Linked DNA regions of Nothobranchius furzeri. The protein of the gene in region 4 binds, or shares a complex with, the protein of the main gene of each other region. Links are inferred from orthologs where the notes say so. Each region holds a gene or a part of one and is shown on either strand. Other genes may lie near its edges.

Region 1 (3,636 bases), on a different chromosome or scaffold from region 4:
TGAGAGGACAGTGGAAATGCTCCTCTCAGCTACTACACCTGAGTGCTCTCCTTCCACTTCCTCCAACTTTCATTCCCTCTGCGCAGCACCAGCGTTTCCCTCTGCGCCAATCTCTTTCCCACTCTCAAGTCTGCAGAGGTTTGTTTCTTGAACAGCAGCTTAAAGTCTCCATCGGTTTTTGCCTAATGCGAACCACCTTCTTCTTTCAGGGCTGACATCTCCTTTTGCAGCACCTGGCAGGTAAACTTCATGGATAGATTATAGTTTATTACAAAAGGGTGTGTTGTGTGTTCATAATTTTTGTATGCTGTGTTGCTTTCATGGCAGATGTCCCCCATCTTTGTCTACCAGCATGGCTCCAGCTGTTGTTCCAAAAAACCAGCCGCTGACGAGTTTCACCTCCACCAATACCAGCAGTCGGCATCGTTTTAGAAACAGATCTTGTCTTCAGGCGTCCTCCACATCAAACACAAACCTAATCAAGACAAAGCAGTGAAACGGGTGCCAGGATTCTTCTCAAAGTTCAGCTGCATTTTAATAGAACAAGTTATTTTTGTGACAATGATGCTTCATTGGGAAGATCTAACAGAAAAACACATACGTTTTATACCAAATCTCACTTATCTCTTCGTCTTGTGACAATAACATGCTTTAATTCTTCTGATTATTCTAATGCAATCTCATGATTTCTCAAATAATATTTTCAGTACATGAAAATAAATGTTGTAAAAAATATAAAATAAAATAAAGCACTTGGGTGTTTCATGAATTTTGTTGAAACTTTCTGTTTTGGTCAGAACGTTTCAGTCCCTCTGAAGCAAAAAGCTCCTGAACAAAGAGCAGCGTAAATGTCGGTAACTTTGTACAAAAATTTCTTTTGTAATTAAAAAATAACTAAATGGTCAACAAATCTAAACCAGATGCTAACTAACAGTACAGAGTGAGTCAAGTAAACATGATTTACTTCAAATTTACAAAAGCAATGATACAAGTGGAACAAAATACAAAAATAAATATTTTCTATTATTTTTTAGCATTAAATTTAAAATTGTGTGAAGAAAGTGTACCAAATCCTATATGCAAATACATAGTTTTTGTCATTTGAGACTGGGAGGTATGAAGTAAGAATAAATCCTGATCAAATGGAACACCAGAACATATGTGGACGTCAGTCAAACTGTTGGAGATGAAACTGGCTTCCTGTGTGTCTAACCATTTCCCGCAGGGCCACAAAACCAAAGACAGCCTGGATCAATCAGAAAACAAAAAAAAAACAGATTACAATCAGTCACAATTACTTGATCTCAAATTTGAGAAAACACAATAACATGTGTATTTAGGTGCATTTGCCACGTAAAATGGAGCTGAGAATCCAGTCATACCTGTGTGAGGATAAATATGGCAAGAACTATGTGGACACCTCTCTCCAAGGGCAGTATGATTATGGCTTCATTAAAAAGTTGAAAAAGAATGAGTGGAAACTGCAGCAGGATGCTCAGCAGCCAAAAGCCGGCCAACTCTGGAACCTTCCACAGATCAGAAATTACATTCAAACCCCACCCTGCATTCAGCACCTGTATCATGTCATCTGAGATGGTCTCACCTTTTCTTGCAGGTTTCCAGAGTAACCAAGATAAAGTCTGATGGCCTCAATCAGAGTCATCAGTAGAAGAACAGTCACAAGGACAAACTTGTAGTAATTTGGAAGGGCAGGATACTGCAAGAACAACTACCATCAGCATTCTTGTTGTGTTGGAAGCTTCAAAACATACATGAAAAATCTGATTCTAAAATGAATTGCTATAGTTTAATACATATCCATACTTAAGCACCAAAGTATCCTAAATCTAGCTTAGATATTTGGGATTTTTCTTTCTTTCTGGGTTTTCTGCTCGCGGCTTCCATCCACCAACCTCGTACCTTGAGGTGAAGCATCACAGCTTCACTGATCCACCAGAACGGGAAGAACCACGTGTTAAAGTACAAAGACATCTGGAGCTGGAGGCTGGACAGAACCCGTTTGTCTAAACACATACAAAAAAAATGAGGGGAACTAACTAAAATCGGTATGGTAAAGTAACAAGGCTACACACATCCATGCTAACATCCATGCTAACTCGACTTCATAGTTAGCTTGTGTTTTTGTTTTTTTTTTTTACCGTGAGGTATAAACGAGTCGTTGTGTTTTGAGAACGGCTCATTACGAGTCTGGTCGAATAAAACATTCCGAGAAAAATCTTCTAAGCGCCTCCTAACTGTCTCCGGCAGCTCCATTGCAAAGAAAATCAGGCTAAAAACAACATGACCAGAGGAGAAACACTTCCGCTTTTTCCTACTAGCTCCGTCGTGAAAGCCACCGTCGTTTCCATGGTAACCATTGATGGTAGTGGGGGTGAGAGAAAGTGAAAGGCCAGAAGCAAAACGTGTCTCCTTTTGCGTTTTCAAAACTTCCCAGATTTTAACTACATTGATAATAAAAATTTAAAAAGCGAGACTAGATAGGGGGGAGAGTATAATGTGTAGCTCAAATAATATTTATGGAAGCTGATTAACGCTACTCATTAAAAAATATCTCATTTCATTATTATGAGATAGCATTTGATATGGCTTTATGTCTCAGAATAATTAGTTACTATGAGACAGCATCATAATTTTTACTAGCTATCTCATTATAGTGATACTAGGGTTGCAGCTATCGAACATTTTAGTATTCGAACATTCTATCGAACCCTCTGTTGATTCTCTTTGACAATGTTTTAAGTGAAACAAAATTGTGGCTTTCTGCAAAAAATGTGTATGTAAAAATAGTATGTATTCAATAGGTGTTGTCTAGTTCCCTCCCTCTCTGCACCAGTAAAATTTGGTGCACATATTTAAACCCTCCCACTGTCCTAATGGGTGTGACCCCACGAGGAAAGTTGACCATTGAGCAGGGTTGATGGTTTATCCCTTGGGTCCACGTGGCAGGGGTGAGGAGTGAGCACCACCTCACCCCTGCCACGTGGACCTCAAGGGATAAACCATCAATCCTGCTTTATGGTCAACTTTCCTCGCGGGGTCACCCATAAAGACAGTGGGAGGGTTAACAAAGTCTTGAATCAGTAAAAAATAGTTCATGAAATTTAATTAATCAAACCATTCATACCATTTAATGATTAATTTCCACCCTACGTGATGAGATGTGGGGCTGAAATGAATAGATAGTATCTCATAATTATGAGACGCTATCCCTAAATAATGAGATTGTGTCTTGTTATTATGAGATAGGTAAGTCATAATTATGAGATACATTTTTTTAATCAGAGTGGCAGGAATGGGCTTCCATACTTATGGGAACCATGCTCAGTAAGTTTTTTTTAGTTATACAAGTCAGGCAAATAACACCAGGAGGAGGAAAAAACCTGTTTCATAGTTGTTGTTTTTTTGCTTTAAGAGAAAATGAAAATTACTGATTGTGTGTGAAGCCACTCCCGCTCTAGCAGAAACTAGGATGGCTGCAACAAGAGAGGCAGCTGATTCTCTGTCCAGCTACATGTGTTCAAAGCTGATGAAGAACCCTCTTTACTGTGGACATGTGGACTTCTGCATGGACTGTGTGAACAGCTACTGGGTCCTGAAGGAGACGAGAGGTGTTTA
Region 2 (4,015 bases), on a different chromosome or scaffold from region 4:
TGGCAGAGTGGACGTGTGACGGTCCCACGTCGTAGCCCATCTTCTTCATGTCTTTACTCATGATGTGAAAGGAGACGGTTACAGAGCCTTGGGAACAAACTCTTGTCACTGAAACGGAAAAATATATATATGTTAAAAGTTTTATTCTAGAAAGGTAAAAGAAGAAAAAGCACCACTAACCTTCTCTGCCTTCACCCTGGGCCACGACCTTAGGGTCTGTGTACTCGGGCCGCCGCCCCAGCAGCCAGCTGAACAGAAATAGGATCTTTTAGCGTGTTTCTCTGAAACAGTTCACAGCTTCCTGAATAATTTGCATCCTTCACGAAGGCCGTGCTAATGGCTAGTCCCAGTTGCTGCTGTCCTAAAACGGCACAGGTCTGCTAAAGCTCACTGTGGTTCATCACATTCTTTACAAATGTAAACATCCCCAATAAACTAGCATTTCTGGTGCATCAGGGGTCAGGTCCTGCAGGAATTTATTCATATTTCTGCTAAAATGTCTATGTGATGAGAACCTGACAGCAGTGAAATGACCTCACATGGCGATCTATGACATTTAGAGGCCTGGATGTGGCTCATCAGTCCTCTAGGATGCACAGTCTGTTTCTCTGACCAGATAATTAGTAAGTTTTACACAAAACGCTCCTCAAAATGGCAAAAAACTCCATCAGATCTAATAATAATCACATTAATATTCAGTTTTCATGGTAAAAATGAAAAGAAAAACACTAAAAAGACTGAGAGCAACATCAAACAAGCCCGAGTGTGAATCTAAAGTATCCAAACGTGACAAAGATTAGTCAAAAATGAACCTTTAAAACGTGTGTTTGTGTTGGAAGCTTGCGTTCCACATGAGAGGAAGATGAAATATTTACTGTTCCTCTAAAGATCACGGGTTTCCAACAGCTAAGGAGACCGATCTCACCCTGTGAACTTCTGAAGTCTCCACGTGGGCTCGGGAACGAACATGGGGATGGATCTTTTATGTCTGACAAGTGAAAAACATTCAGATCTGTATCTTCAAACCGAAGTAACACATTCTGTATGCTTTTAGGTCAAACATGAAAGTAATACTGACTGTCCAGGTGTGAAGGGGATGTGCGTTGCTCCATAGCCTCTGACCACATCGTTACCAAACACATCTGGTCCGTACACACTCACCACCAGCTGAGGCCCTGGGGGACAAACGGCGTTAATCCTAAAGAGTCACACATGATGATGATGATGATGATGAAATTGTGATCTACTCACACCCAAAAGGATTTGTGCTCTTAAACGTCGTCTCCAGAGGAAAGTTCCAGACTAATCTCTGTGTCTGACTGTTTTTGCAGGTTATTTGAGTTATTCCTTCTTCCAGTCCCTGGAGAGTCACATTCGTTACAACACAACTCCATCCAGCCACCGCTGCATTAACTATCTATAAACCCTGTTCTGTATCCTTGAAAGTCACGTCTGACGTTATTGGGCAATACCATCGTCCGATATTGGCATTAAAATGTAACATCGTTGAGTTATCTTTTTTACTGTTTGAATGACACAACCTTTGCATAACATGCTCACATTATACATCAAACTCCTCAAACACATCAAAATATGGCTGATCTGAGGTTTCGTTTGTTACTGTCTGCATCTGTGTGGGTTCGTGTTCAAACGTAGTATTATCCGTAAAAAAAAGCATATTGAACATCTTTAACAATAAGGTTTATTGTTATGAACCCATCTGTAAACACAGCATCCACATATGTGGAAAAAGCCTTGAGATATCATTTTGTTTATATCTTACAAAATTGTATTATTACTCAAGGAAACGTAATTAATTATTTTTAATTTAGAGCTAAAAAAAATCCATTATCAGTTAGTATTTGCTTTAAATAATATATTTCTGAGGTCTTACAAATCCAGAACAGATAGATGAAAATTAAAAATGCACAATAAGTGCTCTCAGAACCCAAGACGTTTATTTTACATGAACGAAGAGTGGAAAAGAGACATCTTGCCCAATAGTGAGCCATATCTGATCACCCATATATTTCCTCTAGTTTCTATATTAAAACATTTCAGAAAGTTACATGTTTTTTACACTTTTGACGTCATGTGATAGTTATGTTTTTATAATATGCTAATAAATTGTTTATATAGCAGTCTGATCTGTGTAATACATACAGTCTAGTAGAAGTATACCGGCAAGAATCCGGCCAGTTTAGTCTCATTCTCACCCTTAATTCGTGCATAATAAACACTTAATGGCTTTAAAACGTTGAAAACATTAATAACATCACTATAATAAATGTATTAGTATTGTAAAGTGGTACCCAACAAGCATACTTCATGTTTCATCCTAAATGCTAATGGTTGTAATACTCACTGTGGTTGGAGCCCAGTCGTGGCCGTACACGTAACAATATTTGCAGTACAGATTGTCATGCTCTGGAAACTGAAATAAAAGACAAACATCACCATAAACAACCCGGAACATCCCGGATGAAGCACCAAACGAGCCATTGTTGCTAATGCTAACGCTAGCAGCTAAGCTAAAACTAGCTAAAAAGACGACTTACGTTCGCTCCCTCAATCTGCCCGTTCACCGTGAGGAGGAACACGCTCGGGTTGTTTGTTGCCATCGTGACTCCAGAGGTTCAAGAAAGTAAAAGTCTGTTAAATAAGTCGAGCTAATTTGGTCAGTCTGAAGCGATCCGAGGTTGTTGCTAAGGCAACGTTTACTCCTCCCTATGGCTACCGGTTTGGATAAAATTAAACGCAATTCTTATTGGTGATATTGGGCCATCACGTGTTAAAATTAATTTTAAATAGAGCAAAAAGTAATTCAAGAAATTCAGTCAAAATACTTATTTTTATAAACACCCGAAGTTTATTAAAAGGAGAAAAGAAGGCGGAGAAACAATATAAAAACTCTGGTTTAATTGTCTAGGCGTCCACTAGAGGGTAGCAAAATCAAATACACTGACTTTTAAAAATGCAGGTTCGTTCTCATTCACGACTGAAATCACTTCACGACCAAACATGTTTGAAAATCGTTTTTTAACCTTATTACCAGCCCTGAAAATGTTATTTCTCAACCATCGTTTTATTGTTTTGTAGGCCCAAAGGACTGCAATGTCTGTTCAACAATAACTGAAACAAAACAACATCCAAAACAAGAAGCCTAACTTAAAATTTCCAGCTAACTGGACACCTCCAGTGCTGTATATAAACATGGATGTCTGCTTTTCCTACTGCGCCACATGCTTGAAAATCAGAAATGAATGAAACCAAAAAATCTGCATTCCAAAGTATGTAAACCCCTCTGGCACGTGTGTCTAAATACTGTGTTTTGTTTCAGATGTGACAAAAACAGCTCTTTCTTTCAGCTGTTTCATACCCAGCAACCTTTTTTTTTTTGCTCTTCTCTCAGCTCTCTCCCACACAGTGCTTCCTGCTGTCTCCAGGGCCCACCCCAAGTCTTCTGACCTTTGCAGCTCCATAAACAGCAGCTCTTATTGCACCTGCTTCCTTTTATCTCCCATTTTGTCTGCCAAGCTCAGCACCTGTATCACTTTTTCACCTCCAGCTCTTTTTTGATCTTCGCGATCATATGGCAGGAACTCGATGCATTTAGAAATCTAGCCTAACCCTTTCTGACCACTTGGACCCATCTTCTGATGGCTACTTCCAGCAGGATCATGCACCATGTCACAAAGATTAGATAATCTCTAACTGGATCTGGAACATGACCATGGGTTCCAGTTACCAAATCTCAGTCTGGTCCAGAATCTTTGGGATGTGGTGGAATGGGAGATTCCCCTCATGGATGTAAAAGTGGGATGACATGGACCAGAATCTCTGAGGACGGGTTCCAACACCTTGTTGAATCTATGACAGGAAGACAGGGAAGGCAAGTTCTGAGAGCATAAGCCTAGAAAACTAGACAAACCAATGCGGTTCAAAAATATTTTACCCTGCAGGTCGGTCTACCCACACTCTGTGGCCTAAACAACTCTTGGTCAGGCCAATCAGT
Region 3 (4,239 bases), on a different chromosome or scaffold from region 4:
TTTCTGCCTAAAACTGTCAGTGTCGTGCCGTTGTCAGGTAAAAACTCTGCACTGCATTTGAATTTAAATCTGCCATCGCTATTGGCTAAGAGGTACCCTAGAACGTTAGCTGGTACCATATGATGTCACAGTGTCGTTGTGAGCCTGTGTGTGTGTGTGTATTTCTTAGCAAAACTATTGACACTCATTTATATAGTTAATCAGCAAAAAAAAAAGTTAATTTGGGAGTGACTAGCTTTTTAATAACAAATTCACTCATCCTTACTCTTTAACCTATAACAAACCTTTATTTTATAGTAATTTGGGTTTTATTCAGCTATTCCGTTTGTCTTTTAGAGAGAACCGACCAAGTGGGAGAGAGCTAAGCTAGTTATCCACTAGCTGCTGCTGCTGCGTGTTCTTTGTGTTACAGCCTTAACCAGAAGTCGCTTTACTGTTGAATATTAAAGGTCATATATGTATATATATATATATATATATATATATATATATATATATATATATATATATATATATTTCATTAAGGATGAGTAAAGGATACACAGGAGACCCTGAGTGCTGTTGAACATAGACACTCCTGAAAAGAAGCCAGCCAGCTCGATTACAAACAGACCAAGTGTGACTGCCAGCGCCACCACCAGCCTGGAGGGAACAAAAGAGATCATTTAATCCGAGAACCTGATAATACGAGTGTGTTACATACATATCTACTCACTTTTTGTCTTCGGTATCATACTGCTCTGGTGTGAAATCCAGTGGTAAACATGCTTTTACATTATTTTCCTATAAAAAGAAAAACAATTGCAAATTATTTCAAGGGCTGAATAATCTGGATGTGATGTTGACCGTAGAGCAGTGGTGTCCATCCCTGCACCTCGAGGGCCCCTATCCAGCATGTTTCAGTGGTTTCTCTGCTCTGCTGTTTTTAACCAAGAGGTGATTAGGGTTGTCACGGTAACCGGTGTAGCGGTAAACCCCGGTAAAAAAGTTGACAATAATAATAACCGTCTTGTTTTTTTAAAAACTATATTATCTCGGTGGATTACCGTGGCTGCGGTGTAGGCGCGGTGACCCTTACCAGCCACCGTATCATCTGCTGAAGTTGCCGGCGGCACATGCGCACTTTGTTGTTTACAACCAAAACTTTCTTGAAGCTAAAGCTGAAATAACGGACAAAGGAGGAGACGGCAGCACTCAGGACATTTATTATCGCTCTAAGAAGACAAAGTCAGAAGTACGGGCATTTTTTTATACCAGAAGAATGCCGAGGGAAAGCTGATAGAAGACGGCTATCCTGTTTGCAGCACGAGCAGAAAAAGTGTCTGTGAAAGGCAGCAACGCTTCAAATCTCATGACACATCTGCGTGACCATCACCCACAACTCTACAGTCAACGCAAGGCAAGCTAACGTTAGCGCTTTAGCTAAAATGCGTGATCCGAGGATTTGGGTTGAGGGAGAACGCAACGAGTCGCTATATAAAGCAGCCGCAGCGCCGCTACCTGCATATAAACCGTGTCGCGGACACCGCCATGTTGAAATGACGCTATGCATTACGGGGCTCCCAGGGGCAGATAAGAGTTGGTCTCTCTCCGAGAATAATTATGAATTTAACAACGATTACTGCCTGATGCCATTTTCCCACATCTGCAAAGCTCACTGGAAGGACACAAACCGAGGACAATATTTTCCTGATATAGGGTTTATTACTCAAGTAAGGGTAAAAAGTATCTGATTAGAAGGCTACTTGAGTACTGAGTATCATCTGGTCTAATATTTTTAAAATGATGACATCAAACAGACATAAAATAAGAAAAGTTATGGGCAAATATTGGTATTTTAAAGACTTAAGGGGAAATATGTAAACAAATAAACAACATAATTACAAAATAACACATTTTAGGCAAAATTTAGACACAAACTGAGGACAATATTTTCCTGATATACAGGGTTTATTTAGTTTCCTGAAAATGTAACACGTTTAAAACAATACCACGATAATACCGAAAACCGTGATAATTTTGGTCACAATAACCGTGAGGTTAAATTTTCACACCGTGACAACCCTAGAGGTGATTAACAGCTTCTGCAGACCTAATCATGCTAAACAGGTGACTCAACCATTGAATCAGGTGTGTTTGGGCAGGGAAACAACCAGAACATGCTGGTTAGGGGTCAATGAGGACACTTCCTGGAACTTAAATGACGTTTTATAACACAACAAGGAATATGTTTTAATTACCTTTGATGTTTAAGCAGAATTTCTAACAATGTGTTTGTGTGTTCACCTTTGTGGTATTTCATATAACAGCAACGTCTAATAAAACCACAGATCTAAAATCCCATAAAGTTTTCTCCATTATGAAAATAAAATCAGGCACAAGAAATCAGATTAAAGATAAACCATTTTTTTCTTACCCTTGACCAAAAGATGGTGATAACAATGACAAGATGAGCTGTGATGGTGAGAAACCGAGCAGGAACAAGGCTGCTGATGGCCGACATGGTGATCCTAATCAGCAAAGTAAAACTCTAAAAGCTCGTGAGTAAAAAAAAGAGTAAAAGGTTTTTGTTTACTGCGACGGAAACCACTCAGTAAGCTAGGCTAGCATGTAGCTAAATGTGCTAACTTTAAACGAACACTTTAGCATCTGTTTATCTTGCGGCTAATGACATAAACCAGCTGATTCATTTGTTTGTTTAAAAACTCGCGAAGTCTATAGCTTAGTTTTGTGTCTCGTTCGTTAACAGAGCCAAAAACTTCACGTTGTGACGCAACTAACGGTTGCTACAACAACCACGGACAATGTGCATACGGTTTTAATGACCGGACAAAAAAACGAACACCTAAACGGTTCCGCGTTGACCATGAACGCGTCACGTAAAAGAGTTTTTAATCAGCAGTAAATAATATAAAACAGAGAAACCCAAACATCTTATTTAGTAACGGTGGGTAGTCAGCGCGTTTCATTTTTCCTGGTCAGAGTTAGTAAAAGAGGTGTAGCTTGACGTGTAGCTGGATATTTATTTATTTATTTATTTATTATTTATTTGTTTATTTATTTGCTTTTTTTATTCATCAATACTGCGATCTGATGGTAACACCTGATGTCTTTTCATTTTTATCATAAAAATGCTTAAAACTACCCGAAAATTCAGGTTCCCCGAAAAAAAAAACAAGACAAAATGAAAGAAATAGAAAGGGCCACCAGATCCGTTCGCTGTTGGATAAAACGGTTTTATTTTTAAAAAGACAAACAACAACCGCATGTTTAATTGGAATTGGCAGGATAAACGTGCCTGTAAAACAAAACAGCGCAATAAGAAACGAATGTGTTTCTGTTAGATGGTCTGAGCCAGAGATTTCCCACCCCCATCCCACCAGTGGACTCTTCCCCCGAGGCAGACTGAACCGATCCAGCGTGCGTGAGCAGCGGAGCGGCACCAGCCAAGGCCCGGGCTTTGCCTCGCGGCCAGGAGAAGAAGACAACCAGCCGGGGTTTTCTCCAGGAGATCCTTTTGAGTCGCTTAAATCGAGAAAGCATCATGGCCGAGTCGGAGTTCCAAACCTTTACTTCTATCATGGACGCGCTGGTTCGCATCAACGTGAGTATGACGCTGGCTTTATTAGTCACTTCAGCCATTTGTGCAGTTTCAGTCTGGATGTTTTAGCGGATTTCCCCCCATGTTTCAGATATGAAGCCATCTGCATACAGATGTGTCCAGCTGTGATGATGGAGCGTGCTAATTCCGTTTGGAGACATGATATCAGCGTCACAGTAAAGCTCTGGCACTGTGTAAATAACAACAAAACAACATTTAAAACGTGGAAGCTGAAGTTGATGCGTTTGATTTTTTTACTGTTGGACTAATTTAAATATGTTAGAAAATAGCACGAGAGGCGTTGGGCCGTGCACACGAAAAGACAGAGATGATGCTGGTTGTCATAGAAACGGGATGCTGCGCCCTCTAGCTGCAGTGATGGAAAAGAGCCACCACGTCCACGGAAACTGATTTTCATCATGCTTTTTTTCGTGAATTTAACATTTTTATTGTTTGTTAAACATTTGAGAGAAAATGTGAGCTAACTTCGTTACATATTTTCTTTCTGGTTATTCTAACTTTACACAGTTACTCTGTTCACTTGACAAGGCCGAACATAAGAGGCTTCAGATAAACACCTCATGCATTTGTTTCTGACTCAGGTCTTTTTGTCTGTTCTCTCTTTCGACCTCTCCCAC
Region 4 (3,513 bases):
TGTTTATGATTAAAGATGAGATCAATTAAACTACAGAAGCATTTGTATATTAAAAGATTCTGAATGCGTTGCATTTTCTCTAAATCTGCCCTTTGTCCCTGTCCGTTAGCAAGAATGATCTAATTACAGCCTGCCAGTACAGCGGATGGACTCCTATTATTCCTACTTATAGGAATAAATCTTTACTAAAGGGAAGCCTAATAAAAACAGCAAAAATGAAAAATCTTCCTTTTATTAACCCTGCGGTTTCATTTCTTGGTAACTAAAACTACCCTCCGGTAAACAGTTTGCAGTGCAGGATGAAGGTCCTCCTCCATGTCAGCCAGTGGCGGTCGCGTGGACGATTCTTTCACAGGGTCAGGCAGAGTGATGATCCTCCCATCATCTCCAAACCACTTCCTTCCCTTCAGGAGAAACAAACATCACAAAAACACGTTTGAATATTAACATCAAAATGAGGACAGTTATTTGTTTGAGCAGAGCAGCAAGCTGACACCTCGTCCATTTTCAAAAGGCGGTTCTCTAGAATGTTCTCATTGGTCAGAGATATGGCGGGCCTCTTTCCCACGTAGAGACCCTCCTCCTCCAGGAAGCGAGGCTTCATGTTTTCAGGCAGTTTGACCGAAGCTGGCACTGCAACACAACGAATCATAAAGACACGGTTCCAGGTAACGAGCAGCCGGCTGTACGTCACCAGTGTGAATCACATGTTTTACCAGTTCGAAAGCTCGGTGTGAACAGTTCACTCTCCTGCTGAATACGTGTGTGGTAACTGACATATTCAGCCTTCTTCACTACCAGGAAGTCTTGAGGAGAATGATCAATGACAAACAAGTCATCTGCATTTTGAACCAGGTGAGCTTCATCGCTCTTAAGCAGGTGCAGAAAACCAGAGTGAATGTTTTAGAACAAGTAAAAATAATCATCTGAGCACAATCCTCTCACTGATGTGGTACCTGGTTTACAGTTTCATCTTGATCATCTTCCCCTCCGGCATCTTCTTCCACCTCAGCTGCCTTTCCTTCCTCCTCATCTCTGGCCTCCTCTGCAGATTTTCTTCGTATTTGCCGTTTTCTGCTGAGCCTCTCATTCGGACGATCAGGCTCAAAGTTGAAAGTAAAGAAATTGTATGACTCCTCAGCCGTTGGGAGGTCTCTCACCTGCACGTACAATATTAATGGTAATTATAAAACTCCATACAAGTGTTTTTGTACAGTCTGAATCTAAGTGTCTTACTCTTCTTGCAGCCTCTCTGAACTTGATCCGGTTGTGAAGAACCGGAGGGTCATCATGTCTTCCTGCACCGACTGGATCAACCTGCTAAATTAAATAATAATTCATCTCTCCAGCTATTTTGGAAACCAGCGTTCTTTTGTGGTTGACCTCACCCTTGTGTCAAACCTCGTCACGGTGTCTCTGTCTCTGAGCTGTTGGAGTCGACTGGGTGACTGTACAGAAGCCTCTAGCTGTTGAAGCTTCTCTCCTTTAGACTGGAACACAAGATCCAGGCGTGATGTGTCAAAAGGGTCCCTTGCACATGTAGCGACATGAATGGCCTCATTTGTGACCCAAAGGTCACACACACTTCCCCAGCTGGGTCACGCTGTCCTGGCTGAACTTCAGTCCACAGCTTATCCATCACAGGAGGCGTAAAGTCTGCTAAAAACCATCTTTTCTCTGTCTGCTGTTCCGTCCAAGACGAAGGACACTTCAAGATTTAAAATAATCATTTTTAATAAACTCTTTACACTGTTTATTTCAAGGTTCATACATAATCATCATGGTTCATTATAAATGTATTTCATTACTGAAATGACTTATTATTCTTTGGTTAATAATAATAATTATTGTTTATGATAATCAGTAATGTTTGATCAGTAACCAGAAGGTCAAGTACACGTGTACACACCATGCAGGGTAAAGGTAACTGCACCTCACACGTCTTTGCTCCATAACCAAAGCTTTCTATCTCTGAGAGGGCGTGTCCTGAGTTTTAATAAAACCAAAAACTCCTCAGTTGAAGTTCAGTCCTGAACCAACCAAAGTCTCTCCGTGGCACGAGAGTTCCACGAGGATAAGGGTCGGCCGCCCGAAGCCTCCACCTGTCACGCCGATAGAATCGCTCAGAATAAACACCACCTGCACCAGCGGATGCAAAACTCCTTCAGAGTTAAGCCAGACGCAAGCTCAACACTGTGTACCCTGCGACAACTCTTGGACCAGAGAGTCGGTACCACTCGGGTCTCCCCTACCGGACCGAGTACCCAGAGGCTGACAACATCCTCCCTTTGACCTCCGGATCCACACAGAGGGTCGTCTAACTGGGTGAGGTGGAACACAGATGGCGTCCGACGCTGTTCTCTCTAAGAAACAACTCAGTTAGCTGCAACAACTCTTTCACCCACAACGTGTTTCTCTCTCTGAAAGAAAACTCTGAGAATCCATCCACGCATTCCACTTTAGTTTTCACCCAGACACAGGTTGCTTTTAATACCAAGTTTTAATATCAAAGCTGTTACAAATGGTCATCTTTAAATTATTAGTAATAAATTCTTAACTTTTTAAACCTGACTCTTCTTTGAAATGAAACACAGAGTGGTGTACATTTGGTTATTGAATAAGCAAAGATTCCATTAAGTCTTCTGTTTAATAAAATTTCTTAAATTAAATATTAATCTTTGGATTAAATATAGACCAAGACAGTTGGTGTAGGAACTTCTATCGATTGTATAAATATCCTGGATATTTATACATGATATAGCTTCATATGCTAATATTGTTGCTCTTTCTCAGGATCTAACAAAGCTGATAGCAAACAGCTTTAAATCCAAGTATGTAGATTGTCCATGCTGCACAGACTAAAATGTCTATGTGTGACTGTATGATTTAAATCCTAATTACAATAACAACGTATTTGCATGCCAGAACAAAAAAGTACTCACCCGTGCCGCTCTGAGCTTCTCCTGCAAGTGCTGTGTCACAAAGGTGTCTAAAAACACGGAGCTGGAAGGCTGTGGGGTTGCTGAACCTTGAATAAAAGCACATTGGGAAACAATAACTCCAATTTTTGTTCAGCATTGTGTGTTACTTGTTAATTCATCTGACAGAGCCAAGCAGACGTGCATACCTCTGTTGATCAAAACTAATGTGGTTGTTCACTCCTCTTTCTCTCTGATATCAGTTTTCTCATTATAAACTATATTAAAATGTCTGTTCATGTCTGAAGCTACAGGGAAAATGTTGAGAGAGCTGAATCCTCCTTTACTCAAATACCTGTACTACTGGTGAAACCTGATTCAGAGCTGGTGCTAACATGTGAGTCAGTCACAGCTGGACAATGTTAAAGGTCCACTTCACCCATACTACTAATACATTTGCAGTGGCCCATAATAGGAATGAATGCCTTGTAAGTCTTTCACTGGGGTAAAAAAAAAGCTCTGGTGCACCTGCTTGAAGACGTAGCATTAAGCTAGAGGAGAAAGTAGTTTCAGATGACAGGATTTGAATTCTTAT

The links. Proteins that work in one complex are often made in the same cells at the same time.
Region 1: cc2d2a (region 4) and tmem17 share a complex: the UniProt entries of both Homo sapiens proteins name them as parts of the tectonic-like complex. The link is inferred for Nothobranchius furzeri from reciprocal best matches to the Homo sapiens genes CC2D2A and TMEM17.
Region 2: cc2d2a (region 4) and b9d1 share a complex: the UniProt entries of both Homo sapiens proteins name them as parts of the tectonic-like complex. The link is inferred for Nothobranchius furzeri from reciprocal best matches to the Homo sapiens genes CC2D2A and B9D1.
Region 3: cc2d2a (region 4) and tmem107l share a complex: the UniProt entries of both Homo sapiens proteins name them as parts of the tectonic-like complex. The link is inferred for Nothobranchius furzeri from reciprocal best matches to the Homo sapiens genes CC2D2A and TMEM107.

Annotation. Positions count from the first base shown.
Region 1 is NC_091744.1:77,713,010-77,716,645, reverse strand, and holds tmem17 (transmembrane protein 17B), read right to left. Parts: upstream 2,358-3,636; 5' UTR 2,275-2,357; coding exon 2,160-2,274; intron 2,025-2,159; coding exon 1,921-2,024; intron 1,718-1,920; coding exon 1,604-1,717; intron 1,527-1,603; coding exon 1,383-1,526; intron 1,247-1,382; coding exon 1,169-1,246; 3' UTR 511-1,168; downstream 1-510. Other genes in the region: agbl2 (cytosolic carboxypeptidase 2), read left to right, coding at 1-138, 210-240, 328-496. UniProt on the Homo sapiens protein: Transmembrane component of the tectonic-like complex, a complex localized at the transition zone of primary cilia and acting as a barrier that prevents diffusion of transmembrane proteins between the cilia and plasma membranes.
Region 2 is NC_091752.1:49,448,089-49,452,103, reverse strand, and holds the start of b9d1 (B9 domain-containing protein 1), read right to left. Parts: upstream 2,811-4,015; 5' UTR 2,622-2,810; coding exon 2,559-2,621; intron 2,435-2,558; coding exon 2,366-2,434; intron 1,361-2,365; coding exon 1,252-1,360; intron 1,176-1,251; coding exon 1,079-1,175; intron 989-1,078; coding exon 926-988; intron 249-925; coding exon 181-248; intron 109-180; coding exon 1-108. UniProt on the Homo sapiens protein: Component of the tectonic-like complex, a complex localized at the transition zone of primary cilia and acting as a barrier that prevents diffusion of transmembrane proteins between the cilia and plasma membranes.
Region 3 is NC_091745.1:78,310,937-78,315,175, forward strand, and holds the start of tmem107l (transmembrane protein 107), read right to left. Parts: upstream 2,811-4,239; 5' UTR 2,504-2,810; coding exon 2,417-2,503; intron 784-2,416; coding exon 716-783; intron 643-715; coding exon 542-642; intron 1-541. UniProt on the Homo sapiens protein: Plays a role in cilia formation and embryonic patterning. Requires for normal Sonic hedgehog (Shh) signaling in the neural tube and acts in combination with GLI2 and GLI3 to pattern ventral and intermediate neuronal cell types.
Region 4 is NC_091748.1:39,031,117-39,034,629, reverse strand, and holds part of cc2d2a (coiled-coil and C2 domain-containing protein 2A), read right to left. Parts: intron 3,029-3,513; coding exon 2,943-3,028; intron 1,491-2,942; coding exon 1,389-1,490; intron 1,321-1,388; coding exon 1,237-1,320; intron 1,161-1,236; coding exon 957-1,160; intron 871-956; coding exon 717-870; intron 634-716; coding exon 497-633; intron 405-496; coding exon 273-404; intron 1-272. UniProt on the Homo sapiens protein: Component of the tectonic-like complex, a complex localized at the transition zone of primary cilia and acting as a barrier that prevents diffusion of transmembrane proteins between the cilia and plasma membranes.